Linked DNA regions of Diceros bicornis minor. The protein of the gene in region 3 interacts with the protein of the main gene of each other region in a biochemical or structural test. Links are inferred from orthologs where the notes say so. Each region holds a gene or a part of one and is shown on either strand. Other genes may lie near its edges.

Evidence for each region.
Region 1: the proteins of CASK (region 3) and SDC2 form a complex in vitro, tested with the Homo sapiens proteins (2 studies listed by BioGRID and IntAct, with this or other methods). The link is inferred for Diceros bicornis minor from reciprocal best matches to the Homo sapiens genes CASK and SDC2.
Region 2: the proteins of CASK (region 3) and F11R form a complex in vitro, tested with the Homo sapiens proteins (2 studies listed by BioGRID and IntAct, with this or other methods). The link is inferred for Diceros bicornis minor from reciprocal best matches to the Homo sapiens genes CASK and F11R.

Annotation. Positions count from the first base shown.
Region 1 is NC_080760.1:15,627,522-15,631,266, reverse strand, and holds the start of SDC2 (syndecan-2), read right to left. Parts: upstream 2,961-3,745; 5' UTR 2,543-2,960; coding exon 2,483-2,542; intron 1-2,482. UniProt on the Homo sapiens protein: Cell surface proteoglycan which regulates dendritic arbor morphogenesis.
Region 2 is NC_080743.1:67,618,095-67,621,839, reverse strand, and holds the start of F11R (junctional adhesion molecule A), read left to right. Parts: upstream 1-897; 5' UTR 898-912; coding exon 913-1,129; intron 1,130-3,745. UniProt on the Homo sapiens protein: Seems to play a role in epithelial tight junction formation. Appears early in primordial forms of cell junctions and recruits PARD3.
Region 3 is NC_080781.1:36,526,963-36,530,707, forward strand, and holds the start of CASK (peripheral plasma membrane protein CASK), read right to left. Parts: upstream 2,686-3,745; 5' UTR 2,121-2,685; coding exon 2,062-2,120; intron 1-2,061. UniProt on the Homo sapiens protein: Multidomain scaffolding Mg(2+)-independent protein kinase that catalyzes the phosphotransfer from ATP to proteins such as NRXN1, and plays a role in synaptic transmembrane protein anchoring and ion channel trafficking.

The DNA.
Region 1 (3,745 bases), on a different chromosome or scaffold from region 3:
AGCCTTAGTTCCTGAGAACCTTTTTTTTTTCCTGGAGCTTAGTATAAAACTCAAGAATTCACTGACTGGAGACATTTTTCCTTTCTTCCTTTTAAAAAGAGGCTTTAAACTCAGACAATCACTATTTCTGACTCCCAGGAAACAGTTGCAGTTTTCAAATTAAAATGTGAAGTACTGGAAATAATGTACTATAATGGCTAAATGTTGAAAAATTAAGTCTTTCAACTTTGCATAAATTTATGCTGCTATACATGAAACAGAGACTGAAAAGTAACTTAAATGGACTATTAGACATCCTGGGCTTTGAAACAGCTTCTATTGAGAAAGACTGACTCATTGCTTAACAAAGACTCTGCTCGAGTCTCCAAGTTGACATTTTAAAAATATCTAATCACCTTTTTGGATGATATTCCAATTACTGAAAACAGTATCTACCACAGTGAAGCAGCTCACTGGGGGAAACAGCCAATTTTGGTTGGAAATGAGAAATATTAAAGCCCTCAAGACACTGAGTTCAGAGGAAAGTTGTCACGGGGAGGACAGGTACAATTCAGCCAAAAAGCTGCCTTAAGGAGCGCTGTCGGATTTCCACAAAAACCCAAAGAGGCAGAAGATAGAGATACGCTTTCTCTAGCATCCCCAAACAGTAATATTTCTTAGCAAATCCCTGAACAGGACTCAGCAAAAGGACCTCCTGTACAGCTTTTTTAGGCAGGCTTCTCTTCAAAACCTTGAGATGGAGTTCTCCCTTTGCCCTGCTTTACAACAAGATGAGCAATAATGTTTTTCTGAAACATTATTTCAGAACCATCTCCCCCTTTTTTTGTACAACGAGCCAAAGTTCATAACTGACTGGGAGATTACCAATCCCAACGGATTACATGATCATTTGCCGAGGAGAAATACCGATAAGGCTCGGAGTTCTGTTTTACAGCCTAAGCACCCAAATACTCATCTACTCTGTCCAGTTTACAATTCTGCGTGCTCTCCAATCGCGGGTAACGTTTGGGGATGTGCCGGCACACAGAGGCTCCCACACTGATGAAAATACCCATCTGCTGCTCAGTGCCAAAGAGGTTTCCCAATCCTAAATCGCATCAACTCAAAAAATAAAGGGAGAAGGGAGAAAGGCGAGGTGGAAAATTTCACAAAACCACCTCTAAGGTGACATGACGTGTCTTCAATGAGATAGTTCAGTTATTTAGAAATGGAGACGTTATCAGGCGGCCAAGGGAGGAGATATGGGGAACGAGGAGGGACAGAAACAGCTGCCCTTCATAACCGGGGCCCCAGACGGCACTGAGGCTGCGGGCTGACCAGTGAGGGGCTTCCACCCAGCCGGACAAAGCTCGGGGTGCCCAGGTAGGGGCCGCCACCGACAAGGAGAAGCCCAGGAGGCAGTTCCCTTCAGAGGGCGCTCATTGGGCGATGTAGGGAAACACGCTCCAAACAGGACCCAAAGGAGGAGAAACCAAGTTCCCACAGCCCGGGCCGCGGAGGAAGGCTGGGTGCCGGCAGCCGGCCGCCGCCGGAGAAGAGACTCCTCCGGGCCTCGGATGCACTCCCGCCTGGGCCCGCGAGGGCGAGGGTGGCGGGCTGGAAGCCTCGGTCCCCGAGCGGCCAGGCGACCCGAGGCCAAGCGCAGTGTCACACGCACCCCGCCTCGCCCCGCATGCTGCACTCCAGAGCAATCCGTAGTAAAATGTCCTCCTGCCCCTAAGGGCCCGCGGCCGCCCTCCGCGCCTCCAGGAGGAGGGGGTCGCCGTAGCGCTGGGATTCCAGCGGCCGGCGCCCCAGCATTTTCCGTCGCGTTCCGCGCACCCCCCGCGGGACCGCGGACTGCGCCTCGGCGAGTAGCGTTTCCACGTAGTGTCTGCTACCTCGCCCCAGCCACGGGGAACATCAAACAAAAGAACTTTTGCAAACTTTCCTCTCCGGGCACTCTCGGGTTTCTTAAATCTGGGCCCCATCTCCCCAGCACTTGCATTCAATCCATTATAAGCTGGCGTGGGGGAATGGTGTGCGGAGGGAGGGACCCCCAAGTTTCCAGGTTGCTCCTGGGTCTTGGGGAGCGCGCAGGGTGCACCCCTTTCCTCGAAGGCCCTACCCGGGCTCCCGTCTCCGGCCACCGTTTCCCTCGGTCCTTCCCGGGCCAGGCAACAAGACCCTTCCGAGGGTGAAGAAGTTGGGAGTGACTTCAGGGGCCTCTGCGGTTAGACAAAACGGCGATTCTCGCGCCCTCATCCCCGGGGACTTCGGGGCAACTCCAGCGAGCGGCGCTTTTCTGCGGGAAGGGAAGGGGAAAAGGGGTGGAAGAGCGAGTGCGTTTGTCCCAGCAGATCCCGGGGGCCGAACGCCGCGTCTGGGGGTGGGGAGGTGGACTCCCCCAGGTGGCGCTCCCTGATTCCCCAAGGGCGCTGCAGACTCCGCTCGGCCTCGAGCACCCTAAACGGCGCGCGTGTCCCCCGCCTGGCTCACTCACCGACTCCGCCGACACGCAGGCCATCAAGCCCAAGGTGAACAGGATCCAAGCGCGCCGCATATTCCCCGGGGACCGGCTGCTCCCAGCCGACGCTTGCAACCAGGGCGAAACGAAGCCTCTTGCCCAGCGCCAGGCGCAGCCGCGCAGACAAATCCGGACCACACCAGCTGCAGCGACCGCAGCTCGGGCTCGGGGGCTCGAGCTCCGGACTCGGGGCGCTCGCTTGCTCCTCCTGCGCCTGCTCCCGCCGCCCGCGGCTGCGCCCCGGAACGCGGCTCCTTCTCACTTGTTGGTTTCTGCACTCCCGACGCTGAGGTGTCGCTCCCGGGCGGCTGCTCTCTGGAGCTCTTCTTGCTCGTGTTTTACTCCTCCGCGGACTCCTTCCCTGTGTCGCGGCTCAGTTTCTGATTCTGAGGAATAAATTAGATGGCTTGGAATGTAGCTGCAGATGAAGTTTGGGGGCAGAGCGGTGGGGGCGCGCAGTCGGCGCGGCTGGAGCTCCCGGAGTATCTGGAGGGAAGCGCGTCCGAGCGGGGCTGGTGGCTCAGCGGCTGCGCCCCTCCTCCTCTCGCGCGGCCGCCTCCCACCCCGGGTCCTCCTCCTCCTCCTCCTCCTCCTCTTCCTCTTCTCCTCCCGCTCCCTCCCTCCCTCCGTAGCCTGCTTCTCCGAGCTCCTCCGGGCGTCTGGGGGAGAGGAGGCGGCAGTGTGACTCCCAGCCAAACCTGGGAGAAATTCCTACAGGATTACGCCCCGATTGGCAGCTCCGGGGACCAGTGGGCGCCGGCGGCTCTGCGCTGTGGCCGCTCTAGGTCGGCTCGTCCGCAATCAATGCTCCGGGGCTCCAGGCGCCTTCCTTTTCTCGCTCCGTTTTTCCCTTCCTCCTCTCCCCACTTTTCCTCTCTCCTCCTCCGTGCTCTTTTCTTCTCTATTCTCTTCTCTTCACTTTCACTTTCTGGAGAAAGATCGTTGAAGCAACGAGAGACATAATTAGCTGGATATTTGCCTGCGAGAATTAGACCAGTAGAAAGAAACTGCTTTGAGAGTTGGAGAAAAACACACAAAGTTTACGGATGCCTTCAAGCAATGTATTCATAAATCGCCAGTTGATGAAAACTGTATTTTAAAAGAGAAGACAATAAATGTAATAAACGTGTATTAAGAGTATTTCCCACCCTCCCGAAAAGGGGAAGTGGAGGAAAACCCCGTAAACCCAAAATACAACACTTTCAAAGCTCATAGTTTCATTAAGAGCTTAAATACCAT
Region 2 (3,745 bases), on a different chromosome or scaffold from region 3:
AGCTAGACATAGTAAAGGTGTTAGGCATGAGTTTCAACTAAAAATGATGTAACAATATAAATATTAACAGAAAGCTTGAGTATCAACATAGTCTATAGAAAGAGAGTCTTAGTCATCACCCCACTATTAGTCACAGTGAGAAGAAAAAAATAATTCTGGAATGTAGGGCCCTGCTGACAGATCAAACGTGTTAAGGACATATCCGCAGTCACTCACAATGATGTTTATAAAGCATCTGTAGGTCAGTTTGTATTATCTGGGCGTGTTTGGTGCACATGTGTTTAAAGTTCTTCCTGAGATAATGTAATTCTGCTTTTCCCATTTTTGAGTTGACCGCTCCCTTCCCCTCTCTTTTCCCTCTCCTTTTCTTTTCCTCCTTTCTGCGCTGCCCAATTCTCAAAGCCTGTGTATGCTGCTAATGGGGTCGACAGAGGAACACAGTTTGGGGGTTGTGTTAAGGTATCATTCCACTTCTCTCCTGGTCCTTTCCCCCAACCCTCGCATATTAATATGTGATTTTCACTTGCCAAAGGGACCAAGTTTTCTGCAGCACCCAGCAATTTACATACAAACAAACAAACAAACAAAAAAACAAAATCAGGCCCGTCTCCGCGAGCCCCGCAGTACGACTCTCTTCCATACCTCCTCCTTTTAGGTATTCCTCTAGTCCTCCAGCCCCAACTCAGAACCCAGCCAGTCAGAAAATCCCTACTTCAGGAACGCCGCCCAATCCGGATGTCCTCACCTGCAGAAGGTGAGGAATTGGCTCCTTACGCGACAGTGTTCTGGGCCAATCAGAGGCGGCTCTGGCTTGGAAAGGCGCCAATCCGCCCCAGTGGGGAGTAGTGGGCGGAGTCCCACCTGGCGACGGTGAATCACTCAACCGAGCGGCGGCTGCCTCCACCAATCGGAATGTGCAGGGGCGGGGCGCCGACCAATCGGGCGTGGAGGGAAGGGCCGGGCGAGGCTCAACCTGGCGGCTGGAGTTTAGTCCTCGCGCTGCAGTGGGTGAAGCTGTGTCTGTCCCAGGGCTCTGGCGGCCGCTGTCGTTTCGGGATCCTGATCGTGATGGGGACAAAGGCGAAAGCCGGGAAGAAACAGTTGCTTCTCTTCACATCAGTGATTCTGTGTAAGTTCCCGGAGTTTCGGGAGGAATCGGTGGGTCGGGTCAGAGGTTGGAGGGAGGCACTCCCCACGCTCTTTGCCCACGGGAGGGGAGGAGTTCAGAAACTTGCCAGCCTCCTAGTCCTGTTTTCCACCTCTGGCTCCTTTCTCTTCTTTCCCCTCCCCCTCCCCCTAGTGAGTGGCTGGCTCCCCTCCCCCATATCAGTGAGTTGTGACCTCTCCCCTTACATCCACCCGGAGAGAGCTGCCCCTTCCGCACTTACACCAAAAATAACGGGGAGGGGTTGGTTCCACTTTCCCCCATCCTCACATACTGGTGAGGGCCGATGGGCGCGAGGGCCCTGCCCACGTACGTCTCCCCAGCCATCCCCCTCCACACGCACCTGGGAAGGGCATTCTGCCTCTCCAATACGCCTCCAACGTCTGCGAGCAACCCAAGAGAAGTCATGGGCCTCTCACCCCCTGACTTCCTTGGCCCTGGATGCTCTGCTCCTGGAGGGTCCTCAGAGAAAATCTAGTGGAGGTGGGGTGAGGTGGAAGTCTCTTTCCCTGGCTGCTCCTGAAGGGGTCTCTTTAGCTCCCCCTGATCTTTGGTTTGCCGTGGTTGCTCTGGAAAAGTGTCTGGGTGCAAACTCTGAAGAGGAAATAAGACTGAAATCTGAAATTTCTCAGAGCACAGCATTCAAAGTTTCTTTCTGGAATAACTGCCTTAAGAGTCCTTAATAAATATTGTTGACTGAGTGACTATTCCCAGGAGGAGGAGGACCTGTCTGTTGGTTGGCTGGATCCTTCTCACAGTGAGAACTCTGCCCTACCCCTGGCCGTGTATGAGAGTGTTTGTTTCTTTTGTAAACTCCCTTTTCTGTGGAACAATGAGGCTGGCTTGCTGGGTCATGCCTCTGACTATAGATGTGTTTGTACCGGGCTGAGTGAAAGGTTTATGCCTTGGTCAGTCAACCTGTGTCAGCACCTGTACAGGTGTCCGTCTGCTTCTTGAGTGTCTGTGCGTGTGCTTATGTGGATAGTTGTGTCAGTATGTCTTCTGTAGGAATCGCTGTTTTTTCCTCAGGGTCCATATTTTAGGAAGTGTAAAAGAAATGAACATTTACAATCAATATCGGTGATTATAAGGCATTTCATTTTGCTCAGTTTTGAAGGGTGGAAATAGATTCCCTGCCCTGAAACAGATGGATTGACTAGTCCTTTGTCCCTTATCACAAAGACGTAAACCCTTTGGGTGGAGTGGACCAGAGGCAAGTCTAATCCTCTCTATTGTACAGATAAGGAAACAGGTCCTAAGAGAGGAGATGACTTTTCCAGATTGACAAAAGGTCCCGGGAATGGAACCAAAGTCTCCTGACTCCATTATCCTTTTTCCACTCCTGGATCCAGCATCTTAGGGACCCTATGGCACAGGAACCATGATATCAAACATCAGTTTGGAATACTGTCCACTATCTTACTTACTTTTTTCCATTTTTCTTTCCCACTAGATTCTTTATTCTCCCACTTCTCCCTTTCATTCTACTCCTTCATCCCCCGCCCCCTTGTTTTTGATTTCCTTTCTTTTCCTACCCCCACCCTTACTTCTGCCTGTATCTTAGAACTGCAAGTGACACCCATGGTCATTTTTTGGTTCTGTGTGGCTCAGCACTAAAGACTTTGCCAACCCTTGTACTGTGCTAGTACTTTTCCCCCACAAACCTAGAAGTTTCTGAGTCAGAGACTCTATTTGTGACAGTACTTGTCAGGCTTGTAAGCTTCCTGGAGCTGCATCTTGCTCCCCTTCCCTCTTCTTTTCTTTCCCTCTAATTTTCTATATTGTGATAATCACACAATAATCACATACTGGCACTGATGGCACCATTCTGAGCTTGGGGATGTCCTCTAGTCTGTTCAGGGAATCAAGAAACAGTGGTTCAGAGGGAGCCTAAGATGATGTTTTGTAAGCATGGCAAGACAGTGGGTCCTGGGAAGGGGTGGAGGAACTGATCTTGTCACATTTAAATCAGGATAGAGCTGGGGGGAAGTGATTTGATTAGTATAATGAAGATGGGACTAGGAGCAAGGTCACCCCACTAGGGTTCTAGCTTGGCTTTCTGCTTTCTTTGTGATCTTCGGCAAAGTAGCTCAGTCTTTTCATCTGTAAAAAAGAGTAATAATACTTGTTCTAAACCTGTCCTGAGGACGAACCGGGCTAATAGCCACATTACGTATACATGAAGGGATTATTTATTATTAGGCAGCTGTTATCCCCTTTGAATTTTGTGAGGATGAAAGAATACTGTGTCTGGTAGAGTAGGTCAGAGAAAGAAGAGAGAGACCCTGATAGATCCCAAATGGCAAGAGTCAAAAAGCAGAGGCTTGCTCTTGAGCATCTAGTCTGTCCTCTGCCTTTGGGATATTGAAAGTATATACAGAATGCCCATGTGCTCTCCCTCCTCCCTCCAGGGCTCCTCCTCATTGTGGGCTCTGCCATCAAGGAGGAAGAAGAAAGAGTAAGATATGATCAACAAGTCAAGCAGAGGCCCAGCCGCAGCCTGGGGATGCTAGTGGAAAGGAAGGCCTGAGCCTGCTGAGGCAGGGATCCGAGGTGCAACACTGGGAGAACTGGGCTTGG
Region 3 (3,745 bases):
AGACACAACAAACATCATTCACCCACACACACACAATCATTTAGGGGCTTTTGAGAAACACCTAATTTACCTTCACTGGGTGCTAAGAAGAAAACAAGGAGATTTTTTGACACATTTGTCTCTAGAACTGTGCTCTTCACATATGGCTATCGAGCACTTGAAATGTGGCTAGTCCAACTGAGGAACTGAATTTGTAATTCTATTTAATTTTAACTAATTTAAATTTTAATTTAGAAAGAGATACTCGATTCAGTTACCAGAAAACTTTTAGGTATGTTTGGAACAACTTGGGTATGTGAATCTACTTTTGCAAATGCAAATTTTATGAAACCTAAACACAGAGCAAGTATTTCTGAAGAAAATTTAGCTTTGTATGAGGATTGAGATGTGCTATTAGTGTAAAATACACATTGGATTTCAAAGAAGAAAGAAAGGATGTAAAATATCTCATTAATAATTTCTATACTGATTACATGTTGAAATGATAATAGTTTGGATCTATTGGGTTAAATAAAATATTTTATTAAAATTAACTGCACCTCTGTTGTTAATCTTTGTAATGTGGCTATTAGAAAATTTACATATGTAATATTTACATATATAAAATTACATACGCAGCTGGCATTATATAGCTTTTGGACAGCACTGCTCTAGAGCACTTCCACAACCACTTTGTCAGGGTGCATTTGGATTTCCTTCTTCTAGTAGACAGGCTGGTCATGTAACAATAGAGGCAAGGAGTAACATGTCCTTGCATCAACTGGGTCTGAGGAAAGTGTGTAGCAAGCTCTACTCACAATTTCACCAAGTGAGGCAACACTGAAATACCTCAACATGGAAGAAAAAAATGATTTATCAGCACTTAAACAAATTGAAATTCAGTACTGCAGACAACTTGAAAGAGAGCGAGCCAACTGCTCTAAGGTCTTGGTTTCATTTCCCAACTGCGGACCTTAAAACAGACAATAAAGCACCGCTTCCAAAATGAGGTAAAATATTTCAATGGCAGCTATCTAGCAATCCTTAATAAATAAGCAAAAATTGCTCTTAAATCTTATCTCCTCAACTTCCAAAGCCACAGAATACACATTGAACTAGGAAATCAACTTCAGATCGCCAGCATTTCCTTCACAAGCAAATTAGCAGGATTGTGCACTTGGAATACTGTTTGACAAGAATGAAAAGGAAACTATTCAAAACAGATTTAAGGAATGGACAATTAGATGAGGAACTGCAGATTTAATTCTCAATCAGCACTGTGATTAATCTGATTCTCTGCTTTTCCCTAGTGTAATTATACAACACAGATGAAAGGATGAGCATTTGGACTGTCAGTTCTATATTCTAGACCAGCCCGGTGACTCAAAGCAGACGGCTCTACCACGCTAACCACCATCCCAACAACAGTCGAGGGAAGACTCGAACACTGATTTACAGTCATTGCATAACGAGGCATTAAAAATTCGGCTACCCCCAACTCTTTCCACGTTCGTCTATACCAGGCGAGGAATTCGCTGAAACTGAACGCACCCCGTCTTAAATGACCCCCTCCAATCCGGGCAAGGGGTGAACACAAAGGCATCTATCTAATATCCTGCACAATAGACACACACCCCACAATTAAAAATCCTGGACGTTCTTTCTCTATCTTTCCACGCAAGTAAAGGAAACGCAAGCTGCTCTTTTCGTTAATGGTTTGTGCCACACGCGAGATAACAATAACCCCAACTGTTCCCAGGAAGCAACTATAAAATCGGTTCTGCCACGTCCCTGTGCAACCGTCAGATAAAATGCAGACAGCAGATTTCAGCCGGCCCCACGCCTCATGGGGTGGCTGACCTCGGCTCGTTCGCCTCCACGGATCGCTGAGAACCCCCCCCAGACCCCCGCCCGGCAGAAGGTCCAGGTACACGTCTATAAATACTCCCGGGTGAGGAGGACAAGGGAGGCGGAGGGGAGGGAGGGCAGGGGGCAGGCCTGGAACGGGTGCGGGCGCGGGAGGACCCGGGCATCACTGAAATGCATTTTTCCACACTCCCGCTCCCTCGCGTGAAGACTCACTTGCCGATCACCTCGCACAGCTCGTACACATCCTCGAACAGCACGTCGTCGTCGGCCATGGTCCGGAGGGGACAGCGGCCGCAGCGTGGAGGGCTCCGAAAACGGGGGTGGGGGCGCCAAAGAGCTCAGTGCCCGGCCCCTGGCTCGCCTCCTCCCCTCAGGACCCGCGAGCCCTCGGAGCCGAGGACGCTCGAGCGGGGCTGCGAGGCCCGGAGACTGCGGCGCCTTCCTCTGCGGGCGACCGCCCCGGCGCGGGCGGCGGGGCCGGGGCGCGGGAGCGAGGGCGGCCCGGGCCCGGCGCCGCCCGCCCGCCCGCTGCTCCTCGCGCTGCTCGGGCCGCGCTGCCCGGCGTGCGGATCCTCGGGGACCGCGCGGCGCCGCGCTCTCTGCTCGTCAGCCCGCGCGGGCCGCGAGGCCGCGACCGCTCCCTCTGCTGAGGCTGGCTCCGGCGCGGCGTGGGGCAGCTCGGGCTACAGAGGGGGCCGCGGCAGGACCATGGAGGGAGGATCGCCGCGGAGGGAGGTGGCGGCGGCAGATCAGCGCTGGGGACCAGGAGGCGGCGGCAGAGACGCTCCCTCCTCCTTCTCCTCCTCCCGCCGCCACCGCCCGCCTGGGAGTGGGAGGGGGCTTCGCGGGACTGGCTCTCTCTGCGGGCGGGAGCCCCGGCCGCCTCCTTCAGCTCCTCCTCCTCCGCCTCAGCCGCCGACCAGCTCGCGCGCCCCGCGCACCCGCCTCGCGCACACACGCCCTCCTCCCCCTAAGGCCGCGAGGCTTCCCGAACCACAGGCCCCGCCCACCCCAGCCAGTCGGGAGGCGGTGGCCGAGGGAAAGGAAACGGGGCTGAGCGGCGCATGCGCGCGCCGCCGGCCACGTCACGGCAAAATGGGAAGGCGCCGGGAATCTAGAAGGGGCGGGGAGTTGGCCCGCAGGGGCGCGCCGGCGGCAGCTGCTTAGGCGGGGGCTGGTCGGGGTCGTCACCTCCGCGACCAAGCCGGTGAAGGGGCTGGGGACAAAAGGTCCACTACTGAACGCACGTTCTTAGCTCTCTGCGGCGAAAGACTCGGAACTTCAGCCGCTCCCCCGCTTGTTTTGTAACCGCAGGAAGCCTTTCCCAGTTGTTGCTGGGGAAAGAGGCTGGGAAAGGGTCCTAATGAATGGGAAAGCAAGAGGAGAGGTGGCAAGGTTGTCACTCCAGACCGTGCTGGGCGGCGGATGCTTTTAGAGCTACTCTGTCATTCCTTAGTGAAAATGGCTGGGGAAGGGAGGTCGTCCACCTACGAGTAAAGGACCAAACAAAAACTGTCCAGGAAGGCGTGCGACAACAAATGGCAATTTATAGAGACAGCTTCTCCTGCATTCTGCCCCAAACACAACAAATATCTATCCAGCGCCTGCCCTACTAGAGACAGCCTCGATAGAGGTCAGGAAGGCAGAGACACACAGAAACTTTAAGCCCCTTTGTATATCTCCCCCCCACAGGCCCCCAAGCCCCCCAGCATCTACTCTGCTCCCTAAACTCCCTATAAATGTTAGATATGTCAGGATAAAAATGCAACTAGAAGGAGTGGATGCACAGGGTCAGCCAGGGAGCAAGGTTCTGGGTGTTGCCGCTGTGCTAGGTTGTATTCAATATGAAGATTTCTGTTTGAGCATGTGCGGAATGAGCCAACGCCATCAGACAGGT